2 linked regions of the Arabidopsis thaliana genome follow. The protein of the gene in region 1 interacts with the protein of each later gene in a pairwise test. Each region holds a gene or a part of one and is shown on either strand. Other genes may lie near its edges.

Evidence for each region.
Region 2: the proteins of FIM1 (region 1) and ACT2 interact in a protein complementation assay, tested with the Arabidopsis thaliana proteins (one study listed by BioGRID).

Annotation. Positions count from the first base shown.
Region 1 is NC_003075.7:13,461,293-13,468,125, reverse strand, and holds FIM1 (fimbrin 1), read right to left. Parts: upstream 5,030-6,833; 5' UTR 4,770-5,029; exon of another isoform or gene 4,555-4,769; 5' UTR 4,367-4,554; coding exon 4,280-4,366; intron 4,207-4,279; coding exon 4,036-4,206; intron 3,937-4,035; coding exon 3,695-3,936; exon of another isoform or gene 3,663-3,694; coding exon of another isoform or gene 3,610-3,662; coding exon 3,438-3,609; intron 3,326-3,437; coding exon 3,287-3,325; intron 3,206-3,286; coding exon 3,137-3,205; intron 3,057-3,136; coding exon 2,940-3,056; intron 2,653-2,939; coding exon 2,441-2,652; intron 2,168-2,440; coding exon 2,015-2,167; intron 1,874-2,014; coding exon 1,674-1,873; intron 1,576-1,673; coding exon 1,418-1,575; intron 1,319-1,417; coding exon 1,222-1,318; coding exon of another isoform or gene 1,199-1,221; exon of another isoform or gene 1,128-1,198; coding exon 1,036-1,127; intron 955-1,035; coding exon 700-954; 3' UTR 525-699; downstream 1-524. Other genes in the region: AT4G26701 (DNA binding / DNA topoisomerase type I), read right to left, coding at 71-139, 240-380.
Region 2 is NC_003074.8:6,473,048-6,477,711, reverse strand, and holds ACT2 (actin 2), read right to left. Parts: upstream 3,003-4,664; 5' UTR 2,631-3,002; exon of another isoform or gene 2,188-2,630; 5' UTR 2,178-2,187; coding exon 1,724-2,177; intron 1,646-1,723; coding exon 1,032-1,645; coding exon of another isoform or gene 984-1,031; exon of another isoform or gene 946-983; coding exon 880-945; 3' UTR 508-879; downstream 1-507. UniProt on the Arabidopsis thaliana protein: Actins are highly conserved proteins that are involved in various types of cell motility and are ubiquitously expressed in all eukaryotic cells.

The sequences.
Region 1 (6,833 bases):
AAAAAAAATGTAGCCTGCTTTGCTCTGTTTTATAGAGAAACTCTCATCAGCTGCTGCAGTGCAATGCATATTAGAATGTGAAGTGAGGTTCTACGTCCATTGCCCACGCAAATTTCTCCAGAAGTGACTTGTTGAATATCTACATTAACGAACCAGCCATTACAAAAAAAAAACTTTATTAGAGGACTCTCTTTGTTTCATGGTAGATCAATATTCAAGTTTTGTATATAATTAACTACCTTTTCAATGGGTGCTTCATGACGTTTGCACCATGCGACCGTGATCCTAGGATCCATGTAGTTGATCTTAGAGGTGCCCAACGCCACGGTTTTCAAGTCCTCTTTTGTCTGCATGTCTCGTTCCATCTTCTCTATCTTCATCGTCTGTTGAGCTATCTATCTCTTGTTTGCCTTGACTGTTGTGGATCATCGTCGTCTGATCCATGGTTGTTTGCGTAGTGTCTGTTTTCAAAATAAGATGTACACTTTTTCCTCCTCCTAACTTTTTAAGTACTAAACAAATTTTCACAATTTTACTTTACTTTTCTCGATGTGATTGAGTGTTTGTAACATTGTTATTATTTTTGGTAATTTTAGTTGATGAAACAAAAAAACAAAAGATTACAGAGAAGTCACTATTATAACAGCTACTTTGCTATAGCAAGAGATGTATATCAGTATATATGTGATCTCGCTCTCTCTATTCGATGGATGCTTCCTCTGAGACCGTGGTGATTTCAGAAACCGCATCACCAACGGCCAAGCTCGTGACTTCACCGCTCAATGAGGAGACTTCCTCCTCTTCTGTGACAGATGGGGCAGGGGACGAGGCTGTGCTGGTGCACGTCGTTGTGGTGCTCTGAGTTGACGACGAATCTGAACTCTCCCGTGAATGTCTCTGAAGACTCCAGTACATTATACTTGCCGTTAAAATTAGGATCATCTTCTGATTCACCTGTCACAACATACCAAAACACATCTCATCTGAGCAATTGCTATTTCGGATGATGATACATTATAGTCTCTCAGTTCTTACCTCCACGATATCTTCAGGTAACAAGAAAACCGAACAACCGAGCTTTCTTGCGACACTAACTATGTATGTAGCATTCAACCTCTTCTCATCATCTGTACGTTTCAATAACCATATAATAATCAAATAAGCTTTGATTCAGGTAAACGGAGTAAGTAACTATACCTTAGTAAAAAGAGTAGTGAAAACCTGTTTCACCCTTGGTGACAAGATTCCAGTTCACAACTCTTGGTTCAACCGCCCATAGAAGGTTGAGGAAGAATAACCCACTCGATAGACTCTTGTCCTGGAGAATTTTAATTTGATTCACTAGAAGGTGATAGGTGGACATACTTTATATAATACTATTGTGGTAAGTGTTTGAAGTAGTTGTAAAGAAAGGAACCTTGAAACTCTCGATTTGCAATTTTCGTCCCATTGTTCTTACTTTCCTGTTGGCCCAGCTGAGGATATCTGCATCAGTCATCTCTTTACCTAGTGTCCGAGATCTGAGACTCTTGAGAAGTTGGAGCATATGGAATCTCATCAACTGCCATAAGAGACCTGAGATACACAACCATATAAATCTCCAGTTTGTAAGGCAAGGCGATCATGTTTTTGTATCAAGCTAAGAGAAACATGAGCTCTCGGGTAATGATTACCAAGAATGAGCTTCTTATTCCCTTGAACTATGTCATTTCCAGCTACATTTACAAGTGAGAATTTTAGCTGTTTCCCGATCTTTATGACTTGATTGCAGTTCTCTACTTTTCTAAACGGCATCTTAATCGGTGGTTTGGAAGCATGCTTCCAGTTGACTGAACTGGGAGAGACCTTGTCAAGAACCTCAAGAAGAATCCATCTGCATAAAATAGTAAATGGAACAAACAAAAGGCATCAGGACCAAAGAGCGTTTTCAGTATTTTCCAAATGCAACGTCATCAACTGCAGGAAAATTTTCTACTAATTGCTTGATTTACTATAAGCTCAAAATAAAGATTACCCATTTCTAACATCTTCAAATACATTATTGACATAACTGTCAATCCCGAGGCTGTTGATCCATAGCCGGTAGCATCGTTCATCTCTACAAGTCTCTACGTCTTCGGTCATCATCTCCGCAAATGCATACTTACCATCCTTGTTTAGACCATTCCTGCAAGAGGTACAGACAGGCAGAGTAAAATTGAGAGCGTAGAAAACAAAACAATAAAAAAACTTAAGTGGAAAAATATTCAGGTAAAGGGATTTCAGGTAAGAAGCTATGAGTCATTGATAATAGTACGAAAAGTTGAAAACCATTTCCCCGTTCTTTTTTCCATAACATTCAAGAGTCTGTTCTTTGAGTAAACCATCACCAGCCTAATCAAACAGGACAAGCCATCATCTAGGAGCTTTTTGGGAGATGAAAGTGCATCACGATACAAACCTTTCATGGAAGATTTGTGCCACAAAGGCAAGATTCAAAGTTGAAGATCCTTCAACGATCTCCTCTGCAGTCAAGTATCGCTTGCAGTTCATTCTCTCTGCATGACTGAGAACCAATTCAGCTCTTTCAAGAGGATCCTTTGCATCTAGTGTAGCCGGGTCACAGTGTTCAGGTGCGAGAACATTGAGCAGAAAGGCATACGCTTGTGCATCCTGCAGATTTACCAGCAACACGCTTTATCATAGAAAAAACTTGATGAGGACAAACTCCATCCATAACATTACCAAAACCTTGAGTAAGAATAAAATTTCTGTTTCTTTTATGACTTCTATAGTTCATATTGTTTCTCTTATCCAAGAATTGATATAGCTTCTACATGTTGTAAGGAACAGTAGAACGTAAGTACAATACAATCTTGAATTGAGAACCGCCTAACTAAAGATCTGGATAAGCAAAGGAGAAAGGTTTCCTCCAAGTTGTAGTTTGAGAAGCCAAATACCTTCAAATCTGCGGAAAAGTTTGAGACGGTTTTCTTGTAACCCCCTTTCTTAAGATGGAAGTTCATCCATTTCAGTAAGACTTTCTCAGGGGGTAATCTCAGCAACTCCTCGACATCCTGCAACAGAGAGAAACTTGTTATATTATTGTACAAGAGCAATTAAATGGCTGAAAATGTGATTGGTATAGCTCACTTACATCGCTGTCCTCAAGCAACTCAACAAGCTGAGGCGTCTTCTTTAAATTGAGATCAGCAAGTACTTGAATCTGCAGTTTCCAACATTATTTGGTTAACACAAAAAAAATAAAACTAAGATATACAGAGCGGACAAGTGGATGTGTGCGGACCTTTATGAGTTGTGAAATCAATCCGAGCACCAGGTGAGGCTGCAAAACATCATAAAAGCTCACTGGTCAGAACGGTGCACATAATTACACTTATTGATGTGTGTTGAAATATTTTCAAACGTACACTGAATACTAAGCAGAGAAAACATACCCGTCCTTCGGCCAGGTCTTGTGTGCCAATATTAACAACAGAGCATCCAACAGCTTTAGCAGAGTTGAGACAAAGCGTGTGATTCTCATTTCTCTCCCACGGATTAAGTACCCTCTTAGTGTTGATCGCTCGTTCATCAATTGTCCCGGGAACAGCTACATTTATAAGCTTACTACGCCGGAAATAAAGGGAGAGAAACACGTGAAAGGCAGAAATCAGATGCATTCTGTGTAGAGATGGACTCTAGTGCACCTTACCATAGAAGGACACCATCTTTCACAAGTTCATACAATTGATTAGAATGAGGGTCAAGAGGAAGGAACTGCTTCAAAAAGGGGTCATCCCCTAGATATCTATTGATGTGCTGAACAAAAGGACCCTTCTCCGACTGATATATAGTGTGAAGAAGTGTCGTTGTACAAGCTTTCAGAAACGAGGATGAGTTCTTATGATGACCACCAGATTTCTCAGCTGCTTTACTTAGTAAGTTGAGATATATCTGCACATAAGGATCAATCCAAAACTACATTATATACATATCACATTCATACTCAGTCCAATCCTCGATTCCCCAATGAAACGTAGAACCTCCATATACCTTGAGAAACTCTTCAAAACTCACATCAGTGCTTGTATCAGAACCCAATTCCCCTAGCATACCCTTGATTTCGTCTTCCTTAAATGTTGCACTAAGTGCCTTCAGCTTTGCAAATAGAGGAGGGAGATCTTCAATAGTGACCTTTCCATTCTGATTCTTCACCGACACATACTACACCACAAATCAAACAAGATTACATACAAGAGATGTATATATAAAGGACTAACAGTGAAAAAGAAGAAACCTTGGAATTGAGAGTCCGAAGTTCGACTTGAGTGAACTGGCTCTGTAGCCATGGATCAGAAACGACAACACCCACGTACCCAGACATCTCTCACTGTCTTACCATTCACGGGGAAAGTTTCAATCTTTCCCCTCAAAATCACGCCAAAACCCAGAATCTCCTAAACCCTTGACGACGAATATAGAAAGCCTCTGTTCAATTATCTTTGACAAATGACTACAGATGCAAGCTAAAGCTTCAGGGCATCAAAAATCAGATAATTTGACGATTTTAATCTGTGGCCGAGAAAAAAAAGAAGCAAAATATCACCGATTTGAAGATTTGTCCTTAATATAGCAAGAGATGGATTCATCTCACAACAAGACAAAACTGAGGTAACCGACCAAATCAGGAAAGATAAGAACTTTAACACGCAAACTATTATTTCTAACACTAATCTCGAAACATCGAAGCTAATTCCAATGTACAGAAAAATCCGCAAGCCTCTAACCTCGGGTGAAGGAAAATTCGGCGTTGAACACTACACAACATGTGGAATGACCAAGACGGAAGAACTTAACCGCAATGTACAAAGTCACGTGAATCAATCAATACCAATGAGACGAAGAAAATGATGCAAGGAGAGAGAGATAGAGAGACGAATTATCTGCTTCGTGTGAGCAATTTAAGAAAGCCGTGTACAGAGAAACGTAGAAGGAGGGAAACAAAAAAACAGAGTAAATGTTTCGTGCGGGGAAATTAGGCTCAGTGGCATTGAATGCTTAATTGAGAGGGATCAACATCTCAATATCACGCGCGCGAGTGTAAGCATAGGTTTACGAAACTCGCTTTTTGATGGATACACGTGGATGTGCAGTGTGTCCACGTAGACGAAGGACGCTGACCTCATGGCGTAACGACTTGTCTACGTGTCACTTCCCTTGACATGTCAAAATTTTAGCCGTATGCGTTTAATAACATTATATTGGATCATGTTCAATTCATCTATGCAAACATTTTTTTAGCCGTATGAGTTTCCGTATGCGTGAACGGTGAACCAGATTGTGACAAGATTTGCGGAACCTTAGAACTAAAAGGATGCATTTGGGTCTACCTAAGCAAAAGACTGAGTTTGTGGGTTAAGCGGCATTATTACGTTTCGTTCCTTTTCCTTCGATTAGAAAAATATTAATGTAACTCGTGTTTCGTGAAACGAGTCTTTTGAGGGTCAACGTACTAAGTTGCTTCTAACCCAAAGAACAAACAGTTGTAGTATTAGTATAGTGTAATTGTGTCCTTGTATGTAGTTAGCACATGTGATTCTAAAAAACTTGTGACAAGAAGTACCTAAATATGTTGTTGATTCAAGCCAAATAAAGCGTCTTTTGAGCTTTGTTTTTCATAGATGACAATTTGATCTAAAATGCTTAGAGAGTTAGAGGGAACCTTTTGCCTACGTGTTTTAGAACAAAGAACATAAGTGTGGAGCCCTTGTTCACATTTTCTTAGTTTAAATATTGAAGATCTTATTCTGTTCTCAAGCTCTCATATCTGTGGTAACTTTCGGCCCATTGTCGATCGAGAAAATAAATAAAAAAACTATACAAAATATGGAAGAAGGAAATGTCAGTAACATGTTGCAAATGATCATACTCTTTAATAACTTTTTCTTTTGAGCAAACACTCACTCTATAATATCTATAAGTGTAAATGATGACAAAAAAGGGTCTATAAAGTATAAAAAATTTCCTTCACATGCACATGCCCAACTTCAAGTTTTGTGTATGATGTTTCTTTAACTTTTTATTAGTGGTTATTTCCCAACTTGTGTTTGTTTGGAAGCAATTATTTCAAAATTATATAAATTCTTAACTGAATGTTTGTCGCTAATGTTATAAAAAAGGTAGTATAAAATATGAAATTAGTCTCGTTTGCTTGGTTGTAAACTACATCTATGTTTATTCATGTGTATATTATATAATGTACATCTAGCTAACAGACAATAGTCATGAGTCTATATGTATATAGGAGAGTCGAGCCTTTATAATGAAAGAAATAGATATCTACGTTCTTTTACATTTGACAAGAATCACCAGATATACATAAATCGGAAATAAATTAATTAGTGTTAAAAGGCAACTATATAGTATTAAAATGCTCATTATTTTTAGTACGTAGTTGGAAAAATGTATGTGTTCCAGTTTACTTGATTTCATTTTTTCATCGTTATCGTTAGGACAAAATCTTGTCTCCAAATCTTGTTTTATTTTTTCCCACAAAATACCAAAAAATATCGTTTAGTTTTAAAGTTAAATCTTGTTTAAACCGCGCGATCATGTGTATCGTGACAATATATAGTTATATACTAGTATATGTTTTGTAAGGTTCCAATAATTTAGGGTGGCAAGAATTGAATTTTAATAATCCTAATGGACAGCCAGGTATGTTGGTCGTCGAATCTCGAATCGACTGAACCATCATATATAGAAGATTTGATAAATATAACTGAGAAAATAAATGCAATACAAAAATGAACCACCCTAAACGTATAATTTACAAGATAGAGGTCAATGAT
Region 2 (4,664 bases), on another chromosome or scaffold:
GAAGAGAGAAACTGAGAAAGGATTGGGGTTAAATTGGTAATTAGATAATTGTTTCGCCGGAAAAAGAAAAATAAAAATTGTTTCAAGTTCTACGTCCTTTTCCAAAGCTAAGGCCCAATTTATTAGCCCATATATGCTATATAAGCATCAACTAGATAGGACAATATTTTAGGGCCCAAGGAAGACTCGTTTCGAGTATTGATTAATTCTTCAACGAGTTGACTTTTTGGAATCAAGATGTATAAACCAAATGTGCAGGACAATTTGAAATTAATTTGTTATATTTTGCATCATGTAAAAGGATTAATAAGCGAAAAGAGTAACGAATAGATACACCTCGTAATTGTTTTGGTGTAAAACTTGAAACAGTAGAATTGACGATTGGGGTTATATAAAATGGTGCGATCTTAAAATATCTGACTTTGTGCTAGTTTAAGTTCATTTGTGAATGGAAGACATGTAACGCTTTAACTATTCAGAATATCAGTTCCAAGTGAAGATGGAGGTAGCAAAAGTAAGACTAATAACCAAATCAATAAAAATCTTATACAATACTTATATTAACATTGCAAAGAGTTTCAAGGTTTTTCTTCTGAGTTTTGAAAGAAATTATAGGGAACAAAAGGAATAAAGAGGCATCAATTCGATCACTCAGAGCTACAAAACAATGGGACTAAAACGCAAAACGAAAGCGGTTTTTTTTTTTGAAACGCAGACGTAAGTAAAAACCCAGAGAGTTTGTCACACACAAGTGCATCATAGAAACGAAAACAAAAAGGGAAATGAAACAAACAAATGGAGAAGCAAATATAAAAGAAAAAAAGAAACTTTGATCCCATTCATAAAACCCCAGCTTTTTAAGCCTTTGATCTTGAGAGCTTAGAAACATTTTCTGTGAACGATTCCTGGACCTGCCTCATCATACTCGGCCTTGGAGATCCACATCTGTAACCAACATATACATAAATAATCAGCCTTTGATTTCAATTTGCATGTAAGAGAATTCGAAACAAAATCTGATCAATTTTTACCTGCTGGAATGTGCTGAGGGAAGCAAGAATGGAACCACCGATCCAGACACTGTACTTCCTTTCAGGTGGTGCAACGACCTTAATCTTCATGCTGCTTGGTGCAAGTGCTGTGATTTCTTTGCTCATACGGTCAGCGATACCTGAGAACATAGTGGTTCCACCACTGAGCACAATGTTACCGTACAGATCCTTCCTGATATCCACATCACACTTCATGATTGAGTTATAGGTTGTCTCGTGGATTCCAGCAGCTTCCATTCCCACAAACGAGGGCTGGAACAAGACTTCTGGGCATCTGAATCTCTCAGCACCAATCGTGATGACTTGCCCATCGGGTAATTCATAGTTCTTCTCGATGGAAGAGCTGGTCTTTGAGGTTTCCATCTCCTGCTCGTAGTCAACAGCAACAAAGGAGAGCTTCTCCTTGATGTCTCTTACAATTTCCCGCTCTGCTGTTGTGGTGAACATGTAACCTCTCTCTGTAAGGATCTTCATGAGGTAATCAGTAAGGTCACGTCCAGCAAGGTCAAGACGGAGGATGGCATGAGGAAGAGAGAAACCCTCGTAGATTGGCACAGTGTGAGACACACCATCACCAGAATCCAGCACAATACCTGTTCAATGGAAGATAATCAGAGCTCAGTTCAAATAATGATCAATGAGTATAAACAAAAAGCCTAAAATGTACTAACCGGTTGTACGACCACTGGCGTACAAGGAGAGAACAGCTTGGATGGCGACATACATAGCGGGAGAGTTAAAGGTCTCAAACATGATTTGAGTCATCTTCTCTCTGTTGGCCTTTGGGTTAAGAGGAGCCTCGGTAAGAAGAACAGGGTGCTCTTCAGGAGCAATACGAAGCTCATTGTAGAAAGTGTGATGCCAGATCTTTTCCATATCATCCCAGTTGCTAACAACACCATGCTCAATAGGATACTTCAAGGTAAGAATACCTCTCTTGGATTGTGCTTCATCACCAACATATGCATCCTTCTGGTTCATCCCAACCATGACACCATGATGTCTTGGCCTACCAACAACACTGGGAAAAACAGCCCTGGGAGCATCATCTCCTGCAAATCCAGCCTTCACCATACCGGTACCATTGTCACACACGATTGGTTGAATATCATCAGCCTCAGCCATTTTTTATGAGCTGCAAACACACAAAAAGAGTTCAATACAGTCAAATAAACCCTGATTGAATCAGAAATAGCTTTCTGTTCAACGTACGACACTACAAATCCTAAAGTTTCGAAGAATCTATACACAAACTTCATCTAACCTTAAACAGTGTTCAGATTCAATCTAACATTGACAGTGTTCAGATTCAATCTAACTTCAACAGTTCAGATTTCAATTCACATATACAAATCATTTCCCAGGTAACATGAACATGGATCTCTCCATCAAGGTCAAGCCAAATTCTGGTAGCTATAATCGAGCTAACTGATCGGTCAACTTAGATCGATTCTAGTAAAACCAAAAGATTTAGTGGAGGTTCACAGATCCAAATTAAACGAATTCCAGATCTCAAGGAAATTGAGAAAACAAGATCGAGATCCAGCAAATAAAGTAGATCCAGAAAGTTCCTATTACCTTGGAAAGAAAGAGCGGAAGAAGATGAGATTGAGGAAGATTCAAAACGGAGAATGAATCTCCTGGATTATCTCTTACTTTCTCTCTTAGTCTTCTTCCTTGTTCTTCTCTGTCAAGTCGCCGGAGATTCAAAACGGCTGATGAAAGTGAGGAGGACAACGAGACAATTCAAAGCGGAGAGGAAAATATATGAATTTATATAGGCGGGTTTATCTCTTACAACTTTATTTTCGGCCTTTCAAAAAAATAATTAAAATCGACAGACACGAATCATTTCGACCACAGGTAAAGATAACGTGACCTGGCTGTCAGACAGCCTTTTCCCTCGTGTTAACTAATTTTTAAACTAATTAATCATCTCAGCCCTTGGATTAGTTCTTTTGCTTTGATGGCTTCATGACTGTGACCTGCTCGATCCGCGTGTTACATGACAGCTCCGTTTTTTTAGTGGTTAACTTAAACCGAGTCAATCCAGGCAACGTTAGTCGTCGTCGTGGTTGGCTTGTTCAATTAGATTTCATACAATTCAACGTAATTTAATTCGTTTTCTATTAGAATTGTATCATAATTAATTCAGACCGTGAAAGAAAGTGTCTTTCATGATGTGTTTATGGATATTTATACAATAAGATACAATGTTTCATCATATTCACTATTCACGATTAGTATGTACATTAAATAATGGCTACTACTACATCCGAACTCGTCAAAACGATTCTGAATCAATTATACATATGCTGACTCTTGCATACATAAAAAATAGTTGTTTAAATTTTGTCTAACTAATGTTTGGTATAAGTATAATGTTGAGTTGAGATACCAATTACATCGAGTCTAGCCATTTTGTCGTGCCATATTCGTCAAAACTTTCTTACATAATGATAACCTAGATCTAGATGAGATATGTATCAATGTATTTGAGATCATAATTAAGTTCGTTCTAAATTTTGTCGACGTGACGAATAGTTTGTTGGTGTCCTCGTCACTTATATAGTTTTGGGACTTTTGGCATCGATCCATGTATTAGTTAGCTAGCTATTCTATGGTGAAATATATTTAACTATACGCATATATTATGATTTTATGTATTTGAACTCATCTAGTTAGCTTAAAAACTGAACATATGACCATCAGACCGTATATCAGATCAAATCATCATCGTGCGATGCGCTATGTAAGTGAAAGATATGAGCAATAACATGTAACCTCTCATGTTATACAAAAGAAAAAGCAAACTAATCATTCATCATCATAAACTTTTTAATGTTTGTTGAGATTAAATCAAAGCTAAAAAGTCAACTTTTTTGCGAGCCACGTGAATCGCACGTGCCGGTTACGATCGTACCAGGTGAGAAAGAGAGAGAATGTGGGAAGGTGATGAAGCTGGCACCTACGAAAACGTTGTGTCCATCATTACGAAACTACTTCTTGATTTATACATTGCTACTATTATCATTACATTTAATTTTCTCACTATTTATTATATGGGTTGGTTTATGCAAAGCAGGCCAGACCACGTTCATGTTTTTTATATTATAAAGTTTTCATATAAATGGCAGGCCACGTTCATATCTTTTGTTGGAGAAAAGTCAATTAAGGTTAGTTTTCTTGATTTGGTATGTAATTAATAGTTTGCTTGATCCCAGAGATCTAGCTTTTTTCCTCTCAACTTTACTAGTAGTGGTACACCACAATCCACCCATAAAGTTCTATTTCTTTTTTGGAATAATGGATTTGTGCCATATAAATTAAAATCGGTTTAAACCCTACATGCAACTTGCAATAGAAACCAATCGAACAATGATGTTTCCAGAGTTTCGTTATATATATATTTTTTAATGTAGAGATCAAATCTTCTGTAGTTAAGAACAACGTGAAAGAAGAAAAATTGTAGGTAGAATGTGTTTTGAAAACTCTTTTAACGTTTAAGTTTATAAATAAAAGAACATTTGGTCGAAATACATGTGACATTAAGTAATCATCTATATTTTTTTTCCTTTCTATCAACATGTATTATACGAATTTGAATATGAG